2 linked regions of the Schizosaccharomyces pombe genome follow. Each later gene encodes a partner of the first gene's protein in a complex. Each region holds a gene or a part of one and is shown on either strand. Other genes may lie near its edges.

What was found. The genes of interacting proteins can lie anywhere in the genome.
Region 2: brl2 (region 1) and brl1 share a complex: the UniProt entries of both Schizosaccharomyces pombe proteins name them as parts of the histone H2B ubiquitin ligase complex.

The regions. Positions count from the first base shown.
Region 1 is NC_003421.2:487,902-493,667, forward strand, and holds brl2 (histone H2B-K119 ubiquitin ligase complex (HULC) subunit, ubiquitin-protein ligase E3 Brl2), read left to right. Parts: upstream 1-1,879; 5' UTR 1,880-2,166; coding exon 2,167-2,256; exon of another isoform or gene 2,257-2,320; coding exon 2,321-4,273; 3' UTR 4,274-4,468; coding exon of another isoform or gene 4,469-4,883; 3' UTR 4,884-4,930; coding exon of another isoform or gene 4,931-5,161; 3' UTR 5,162-5,206; downstream 5,207-5,766. Other genes in the region: wtf antidote-like meiotic drive suppressor Wtf9, read left to right, coding at 1-145, 191-382, 423-485, 536-618; sec8 (exocyst complex subunit Exo4), read right to left, coding at 4,469-4,883, 4,931-5,161, 5,207-5,648, 5,699-5,766. UniProt on the Schizosaccharomyces pombe protein: E3 ubiquitin-protein ligase which belongs to the histone H2B ubiquitin ligase complex (HULC) which mediates monoubiquitination of histone H2B to form H2BK123ub1.
Region 2 is NC_003421.2:2,238,108-2,242,654, forward strand, and holds brl1 (histone H2B-K119 ubiquitin ligase complex (HULC) subunit, ubiquitin-protein ligase E3 Brl1), read left to right. Parts: upstream 1-1,739; 5' UTR 1,740-1,867; coding exon 1,868-3,946; 3' UTR 3,947-4,047; downstream 4,048-4,547. Other genes in the region: transcription factor TFIIIB complex subunit Bdp1, read right to left, coding at 1-561, 612-1,103, 1,149-1,179; pep3 (ubiquitin-protein ligase E3), read left to right, coding at 4,398-4,547. UniProt on the Schizosaccharomyces pombe protein: E3 ubiquitin-protein ligase which belongs to the histone H2B ubiquitin ligase complex (HULC) which mediates monoubiquitination of histone H2B to form H2BK123ub1.

The DNA of each region.
Region 1 (5,766 bases):
TGGGTAGTAATAATTTGGCTATTATGGGTAGTCATTTGCTATACACTTTTTCTTCGCGCCAAATTCGGTAATTTGAACTTAGACAAGGCTCTCATCTGTTCTACATGCAGTATTTCAGCTGCTTTACTTTTATTTTTACTATATGGTATGTGAAGTTATGGAGTTACCATTACTGACCGCTAACACGCAGTTCGTCTTCCATTTTGGACACTCAAGCATATGTTTTCTGGTTTGTTTCAAGTACTGGGTGTACAAAGTTGTGTCGTTATTGTACAGAAAGGTTTGATGCATTTATTTGATAAACATATCGACGGGACAGGCTACGAAATTGAAGCCTCTTCACTCTTTGTTATAGGAAATTTTCTTTTCTTTTACGAAATGGGTTTGTTTAATATTCCTGTAATTTACTCTAACCGTATCAGAATGTCCAGGTGCTCTCAAAAGGATGCCCAAATTTATCAGGAATGGTATAGCTTCTTTCCTAGGTATGTGTATTCAACCAACTGTATGAATGATTTTTTACTTACCCGACTAGGAGGTATAGCAAATGCGATTGGAGGTGCCAACGATAATAATGACATTCCCTTGGAAGAAACGGAGGCCGAAAGCGAAGTCTAATTGCTTTATTAATGTAGTTGTCGCTACAGTTGGAAAACCTCTTTACCAAAATCACCAATGCAGAGAAGCTGCGGCGTTTTTTAAAAAATTAGCACCAACTTTCTTTAATCATCCTCTTTCACTATAAGTTTATGGAATATATGCTTAACTTATTCTTTCAATTACCAAAGATTTTCAACCAATGCATTCTACGATGTTGGATAATGTGCATTGAGGACCGAAGTCTTTATTTATAATGTATGCGAGTCTAATTATTTGTCTTTTTTAATGGTACTCTACGCTACAAACAATAATGGTTTAACTTGTTTACGACAACTTTAAATCAACTAATGAAATCGGAAAACTCGTTGTTCCACCTTGTTAAATTCACAATTTCATTGTCGTTGTTACATTCATTTCTCCTTCATCTTGATTCTTAATTTAATCAAGCTTAATAATCATTTTTCCCTTCTGTTTAATGGTTCAATTCAAACAAAATTTAATGTTTACAAAATAATGAGCAGCATAATAGAATATTGTGGTTTAGAACGATGGTTTGTTATCGTAATTACGTGTAAGCTACGCAGTTTGGTATCTGATTTAAGGATACGTAGAACTGCGGTGAGTTTTCCTTGTGATCTATTATATTACAATACACAGGTTGTATAAGTAGCAACTGAGTATAGGTATTGTATTAACTGGGTTATAATGTTACCTATCACTAGTATAGCTCATAACTGAACCTCGTTCCTCAGTTCAGTGGTAGCTCTATTTATAGTATTCAGATAATATAGATCTGAATAGATTATCATTAAGATTAATCTCCATATCGTATCATACATGGTACGATATATAATTAGAACATGTGACATATAGTGATACGCAACGTAGTGTATCACTATATGTCATATGTTGAAATACTAGTTAAGATCCGCTTGTTGATAATCACAGGTAACTATTCGTCTATGTACATAAATACCCGTTGATAACAGCCATTTATAAATAGCGTTACAACTGAACCTCGTTCCTCAGTTCAGTTATGAGCTATACTAGTGATAGGTAACATTATAACCCAGTTAATACAATACCTATACTCAGTTGCTACTTATACAACCTGTGTGTTGCAATATAATAGATCACAAGGAAAACTCACCGCAATTTTACATTTCGTTAAAGTGGATACCAGATGGATAGTTAACTCGAATTTCTTCAAATACGACAATTTTTCACTAAAGTAGTTTAGTGACTGAGTAAATAGATCGTAAACTCGTGTCTGCCCTCTACCACTTCACTTTTACCCATTTTATTGTATTGAATGGCAATTAACTTAATTCGCTTCGAATTGCATATTTTCAATACGGCAAGTTTCAACTAAGAAGGAGAATTTGAAATAGATCTGTAAAGACGCGTATCTATAACTTGCTTATTCATTACGCGTTATTACGTTTAGTATAAGAAAAATACAGTCTGTCTTTTAGGTTTTGGCTGTTTTCTTTTTTCGTTAAAAAACAAATTGTTCTGAAAAAAAGGAAATTTATATTGATAGGTTGATGTATACGACTTTCGAGAATGTATCAGAATGGTAAACCAGATGCCCCCACAATCTTAGGCCAGAAAAGAGAACTTGAAGATGTAGAAATACAAGATGATGATATTCAGGTATGTTAACGTGTTGAGCCTTTAGGCATTCGAATGTTAAGACATGTCGCTAACTCTGTTAAAGGAAGTCTCTAAAGAAGACTTATTAAAGGATGTAAGAGTGAGGAGCATTCAATTTGATGAGTTAGAAAGTAAAATAGAGGGACTTCAAAATTTAGCAGAAGAGAAATTAAAAGTTTTAGCTACTTTGGTCTCTTGGTGGCCTGAAATACTTCAGCAGTTTAGCGTTGTGTTTCAAGGCAATGAGCTGAAGGACTTCGAGAGTGAAGGTGTTTTTTCGATTTTGGAGAAATTCCCGGAGCTTTCATACTTCAATGACGCTGTGAAAAATAATAAAACTAAAGCCTTGAGCATCATTCAAAAACTCTTGTCTACTGTTGACTCAAGCACAAATTCGGTCTCCAGAGATCCTTTTTCAGTTTTATCAATTGATGACTCTGCCCTTACTGAGAAATTAAACACCATTAATTTGGATATTGACAAGATTTTAGATGAATTGGATACCACTCGGTCTCAGCTTCATTCAATTATAAAACTACCAGATCGCTCGTCTAGTTTTACTTTGCAATGCATTAATGAATCAGTGAGACCCCAGTCTACTAAAGTGAAAGAGGAAGCAACCACCTCCTCTAAGGGGAAAGATGAAGAAAAGAAAGTTAGCACGGTTGAACAACGTACTCAACTGCAACAATTATCCAGGCTTCAAGACCAACAAAATGGTTTAATGGAGTCTCGCTCACAAAGCCTTAAAATTTTGGATTCGAACGTTAATGAAATGGATAAATTAATTATGGAACGAGAAAACGCATTAAACAACGTCGAAACTACAAACTTGAAAAAATACTCTTCCTTTTTAGCACTTAAAGAAGCTGTTTCTATGACATCTGAGCAGTTACGCGTATTAGAGCACTTATTGTCCGAATGTTCTCACGAAATAAATGTATTGTCGCAACAGTCAAAGAATTTTAACGGTGTTTTTGAATCTTCCTATCAGCCGTTAATAAACGATCTTGATCATCAAATATCTGTTATGCAAAACGATGAAAAAAGAATTAATAACGCAAAGACTGAATTAAGCTTATCCCTTGAAAAGAAGTTGGAAGCTAAAAAGCAAAAAGAGAAGGTCTACAAAGACAAGTTAGATGAACTTGCGAATTTAGAGACAATGGTATTGGAAAAGAAAAAAGCGGTGGCTACCCGTGAAGCTGCAAACAAAATCCGGCTCGTAGACCTTAACGATTTGGAGTTACAAAAAGATCTGTCAACTTACCTTTCTAAAGAGTTGGCTTCTACTGAAAAAGCATTTAGGTTGGTAAAACAGCAAACTGTGAAAAGTAGCCACTCCCATTATCAAGAATTGATAACCAAATTTAGTGTCGAAAAGGAAAAGGCGGAGCAAAAATATTTTCTGACCATGAAGTCTACAGATAGTCTTCATGCTGAAGTAAAGTTACTGCGCCAGAAGTACCAGAAGACCAACGAAATTATCTCAAAAATGTTAAATAGCCAAGACACTGCTGTCCATAGAATAATAGAGTTTGAAGATCAGCTAGCCCGTCTATCATCGGTTCGAAATAACTCTATAAAACAATCAACAACGTTTCAAGTCAAAAAGTCATCTCAAAAATCAACTATTCAAAACCTGGAAGAAAAGGTGTCTTATTTACAGCAATTTATGGATAAAAATAATGCTACATTAACAGACCTTGAATTTCAATGCTCAGATTTATCATCTTCTATAGATATACTTTCCAAGCAAGATGAAGAGCATGAAAAAGAGAAGCGAAAGTTAAAGGATACTGGGGTATCAACGTCAGCTGAAGAGTTAAAAACTTTTAGGGCCATGTGTAAGTGTTCAGTTTGTAACTTCGAGCGCTGGAAAGATCGAATTATTTCTCTCTGTGGTCATGGCTTTTGTTACCAATGCATACAAAAACGGATTGAAACACGGCAACGCAGATGCCCGATTTGCGGTCGTGGATTTGGTGCTTCTGATGTTATTCCGATACATCTTTGAAGAATATGTTTTATTTGTGTAAATTATGTCTTTCAGGAAAACGCTGTATATATAACAAATCATTTTCCTTAATATAATCTTTGAAACTAGGTCACGTAGTTTTTAAACTATCCAATGCATCTATGTTTTTAGTTAATAAATTTATTATTATAAAATCATTACTCGTCATTATAATTAAAATTCTATATTATACGGTTAAGGATTTTTTCTCGCACCACCCACAGTGTTGTCGAACTGAGTTAAAACCGAGCCAATCTTTTTCTGATACTGCCGATAAAGATCGTCCCTTCCGTTTCTTTTTGCATCTTTCATTAATCGCTGGTAATAAATTCGGACCATCTGTTTAACGTCAGGCAAAAGTTCCTTTTTGGGGGCAGCAATGAAGTGCTCGATAATTTTCTTGGCACCATTTTGGTATATTCCAAAGACTCTAGAAGATTTAGGAAATTCAACGTCGCCATGAATTTCCTTAACCGTCTTAAGAATCTGAATCATTGCTGACATATTTTTCAGCATCTGAAGACAGCTGCCTCTATTCATTGATTCTATTTTGTAAAAGATAGAGTATAGCGATGAATCAACCAGTTCACTCAGACCTTGGAATACAAACCTATAAAAAGTTAGCAAATCAATATAAGGAATTCATTTGTTATTTACCTTCGTTCCCATTCATTCAAACAGGTTTCGAGTTTCAAATTCGTCGTCACAATAGTAGAGTTGAGAGCCATTATCGAAGCATCTGGTCTTCCGCGGTACTCGACAACATAGTCAGGAAGGTTTACACTTTGATTAATACTATGAATGTACTGTAACCGAACTTCCATTCGGATTAGCAGTAAAGCATCGAATTGGAGCCTCTGTAAAGAATCAAAGACTTCTTTATATGCACTTTTATAAAAATCAGTATAAAGTTCAATACATACAGTAACATACCCCTTCATTAAATCCGAATTATTACCCAACAAATTATCAATTGGTAAAAAGTCACCACCGAAATTAGCTTGGTTTTGTTGCAAAACGTTCATTCTTCGCGAACCGTTCATAAATCTTGAAAAACAGCGCTGAAGAAACCATTCCATGGAGTTATGAAGATAAGAAACCGAGTTCACTAGGTCGGAATCTTTGGATAAAACCGATACCGGAAGTTTAACTTCGGACGTAATCGCACGATCTTCATATTGTAATAAACGCTTATTCTCCATTCGACAAAGCTCATTTAACCCTTCAAGTGATGGATTTTTTTGCTTGAGGAATTTAATAAATTGAGGGTACGTTACATCGTCGTGAAGTAGCTTTACTCGAACAGTATCATCGACATCTTCAGTATCCTCGTTGACATGTTTGTATTCTTTGAGAACAGCCGTTCTGCACAAATCTATAAAGGGTAAGCTGGGGAAACAGTGAAAAAATGGAAATGAAACATACCAGAGAGATAATCAGAACAATGGTTGCGAAAACGAACAAGCAAAGTATGTAATAATTCATAAAATTCT
Region 2 (4,547 bases), 1.8 Mb from region 1:
AATTTTCTTCAACGTATTCGCGTTCCTCTGCTGGTACAAAATCACGTTCATGACGGTCGACTTCTAGTGAGGTTTCATCCAGAACAATTTGGCCATTAACAACTCGCGTACGAGGAGTTGCAGAGTAATTGGAGTTGTTATTCAAACCATCAACTTCCATTTTATCTGCTAACTGATCAAGAATAGACTTTGTTGGGTGAGAGAGACTATCTTCGAGAGAAGCAGACTCATCCGTACCCTCTTCTTCCAAACTTCCTACTATTTCTTCTTTCTCTTTCGGTTCGCTTGATTCTAGAAGACTGGCACTCAAAGGCTGTTTGATGGTAGAATCTAAAGACGCTTCTCGACTAGAGCTTGCAGTACTTGCTCCTTGTTTTTTAATCCTCTTTGCTCGTTTTTCCTCAAAAAGCATTTTTTCTAATTCGATAAATCGTTGACTTTTGCGGCCAATTCCAGGATCATCACATAAAGCAGACATTTTGGTTTCACTTATGTTAATGATTTTCTCGTCGGTACCCACGTTTTCCAATATCAATTGACTTTTTCTTTTCAAAGAAGATTCTATGATGTTATTAAATAATGCATTTTAGATTAACCCTTTATTTACGTACCTCTATATGAACGGCGAGACTTTTTTGTAGCCGGAGAATCCGCCTTTCCGTCACTAACAGCACTGAGCTGAGAAAGGGGAATGTTCTCATCAAAAAACAAATCTAATTCCTTCATAAATTGCTGTTCGGCTGAAGAGGATAAATCGGTTTCAGGCGACAAATGCTCAATAGCATTTAACGGCTGCTCAAGAACCGTTGGCTTAGAAATTTTAAAAGTAGGATTTGAATGCAAAAGTTTTTCATTTTGTTTCACTGAATCATCTTTTCTATAGGATGAAGCTGTGGGATTTTCAGTTGCCTCTTTGTGAACTACTGTTTGCACAACCGGACTAGAAATATCAGCATTGGCAGTATCACGAGACAGCTGAGCGGATGTTTCTACTTCGTTTCCTGTGAGGGGTTGATTTTTTTCTTCATGAACAACCTCTTTTTGGTCCGATACTTTCTCTCTACGGGCTGTAAATTTAGGGGCAAACCTTGACATTGATTTTTCTGGTAAAACATTAGTGGAAAGCCCTACTACTTAAAAAAACGTACTTGTAGGTGAGGTTAATATTTGCGAGCTCATTGAGTCTGTTTAGACTGTAACTTCGACTCAATTGCATGAATTTCAAAAATTATGTGGCAGTGCGCATATGTTTGTACAAACATTTGCCTGTTGTCCATGAACCAGTAATATTTTAATAAAGAGGTTATATCCTGGGTATAACTGTACAACGAAACCAAGCAAGCCCGTCTGAATAGATTAATATATATGTGTAAAAAGTTTTATAGTCGCAATGATTGAGTAAGATATAAAATTAACTAAAGGTAGAAATAATCAGGGTCAGCCTCGAACAAACTTAGTTATTATAAAACGCTGGAAATGTAAGCTATAGTTTACAGATAAAGCAAGAAAATACTTTACACTAATATGAATAGTAGAATAAATTCAGCAATTTAGATAACCACCGAAGGAATTGAAGAAGCCATTGTCGTTAGCTAATGTTTATTTTGTCATTGCCAATATTAATTATATTATACAAATTACTACTTCGTAGGCGACTTTAAAGACAGGCATAACTAAGGTAAAGAAACATATTATTATAGCGAGGAATCTATTTGACTCACTAACGAGACATGACTACCATGTACAGATAACCTGAAAAAACTCATTAACCGTAGGAATTGGCTTAGTGAATGTTAATGAGCACATATTTTGATCCTAAGTACTTTATTTTAATTATAAAATAGAAAAGGAATTTTTTTGAAGTGGAATGAGCGTTGTGAATGAATCGAGGAAAAGAAGACGTCTTATTCACAGCGAAAAAGAAACGCGTCGTTTAGACCTCGGAGAAGAAGATGACTTAGAGTTATTTCAAAAGGAAGCAGCTTGGCGAAGATCTAGAGAGTATGAGCATCTCACTGTTTTGGAAAAGAAATTATACGAGTATTGGGAATCTCTAGTTTTGAAACTTGATCATTACGTTGCTGCTGCTCTGGAAAATCATGAACAATCATTTGAAGAACTAGAGAAAATCACTGCTTCTTTATATCAACCTGATGATAATTTACAGACACTAGATTTGTCACTTGCTGAGTTCAGTTTAATCAAAGATGCGCAAAACTATTTGAATAAGTATGCTTCCTATTTTCAAGCCCATGAACCTACTCTACAAAAGTTAGCTAAATTTGGTTCTTTTAAATTAAAAGAAACTCCAAACGTCCATGAATGGATAGACCAACGCCAGGTTCATTTTACAAGTATGATTAATTACCGTACTAGCCAACTTAAGTTGGCACTCCTAAAAAGGAAACTTTCCTTCTTTCGTGAAGCTTTGAATTCAGCTGAATTAGAATGGAAACGGGTGCAGCAAGATCAGCTTACTAGTGCTTCCGAAAGAAGTATTGAAAATATCGCTGATGATATCCCTGCTTCGGAACCAAAAGCAATTCTCGAAAATGGGGAAGGATGTTTAAATGATAATGATAATATTTCAAAACTAAAAAACAATTTTCAATCTCAAGCTGATTTGATGCAAGCAAATATAAATTCCAAATTGGATGAACTTTCTCAAAAATCAACTCGTGCAGCACAATTGTACGTCGACATTATGGGTATAACGGATGAAAGAGTGAGTAGAGAGCCCCATTATTTAGAGCTGAAGGGGGTTCTTTCTTCAAATGAAGAGAAAATCGAATCCATTAATCGGGACCTCTCTTCATTGTTTGAGGACATTCAGTTTTTTATTTCTCAACGGACGAAACGACAGAAGGATATTATTGATTTAAAATTGGCATGTGTAAAAGAGAAACAACAACTTATTAAAACCCTTGAATCATCTTTAACCCAAATTCGTAACGAACGAGACTCTCTAGTGGCGAAACAACAAATGCAATATACTAACAATCTATTTTTTGACGATATGATGCTTTTATTAAGCAACTTGTCAAACGCTCGGGTTGCAATTCTAGAAGGTTATTCAAATCGATTGTGCATATGGGATCGTATTGAAAGGTCTAAGACTGGTGAGATGAATAATGTCCTAGATGAAAAAGAAGAAATTTCTGCGTCTTCAGCTTTGGAAAAACTAATAAAAAATAATAGTTGTTTGGAGGCTGAACTCCCAAGTATGTATGCAGCATTTGATCAATCACAATCTCGTTTGTTGAAGAAATATGAAGAACTTGAAACGAAGGAGAAAAAAGCTTTGGAAATGCATTATGAAAAGGCTCGTGCCACCCAAAAATATTTTGCTGCCATGAAAGCTCGGGACATTCTTATGACAGAGAAGAAAACTCTTAAACTGGCCGAAAATAAAGAACATGATTATATAGGGAAGTTGCAAGAGCGAGAACATGCGCTAACAAAATATGAATCCTCTTTAAAAGCTGAATTGGAAGTTTATAAACAAATAAAGGAAATCTACGGGAAACACTCGGTCGAAGTTTTAACAGAAGATAAGCACTTACAAGTTAAGCAAACAAAACTTACTCAAAAACTTGAAGATCTTATAGAGTCTGTTCAAAAATCTGGGGAAAAGCTTATGATCATGCATCAGAAGTTGTTTCATTTGCAAGAAGAGCATACTATTTTATCCATAAAAGCTTCGTATAATAAGAAAGAGTCTCATCTTATAAACCAGGCATATGAAACACAAGAGGCTCAAGTATACAAAGGAATGTTAAAATGCTCCGTGTGCAACTTTTCTAATTGGAAATCTAAACTCATTCCAAACTGTGGTCATGCCTTTTGTTCTAATTGTATGGAACCTTTTTATGAGCATAAAACAAGTACATGTCCGCAGTGTGAAACACCTTTTTCGGTTTCCGACATTTTGACCATTCATCTTTAATTCTAGATCATCTTTTATATGATTAACGTAATGTTTTTGTTATTTTGGTACATAATATATTTTTTGGCATCAATAGTTATTGAAAGAATAGTCAATCCTATATACATATATATATATATATATATATATTTATTTATTTATTTACATATAAATATGTATGCTTTTTTTAATAAAAAACTAGTAATATCTATCAATTTGATTAACTTATTCCATTAAGCAACTTCGTTCATTCATATGCTAGTTTCGCAAGTCTAGCATCATGACTCACTCTCCATTATCCATGTGCCAAAAATAGAGGGTGTGTATCTGTAGCGACTGTAACTAGCGAAATAGGAAACAATTAATTACTATTAATTATTTTTTTAAATATTGGTAAATTAATTTATATTGGCAGCGGAATTATAATAATTCATCTCATTTTCTATTGATACGCGTGCAATCCCATTGAACAATGAGTCTGGCCGAGGATTGGATTGATCCTAATTCTTCTGAAGATTCAGATATTCAAGAAGATGCGGAATTGGAATACACAGCTGATAATCCCGAAAAGGAGCAAAGAGGTGTATTTTCCTTAGAGAAGGTGCAACTGCAGTTCCCTGTT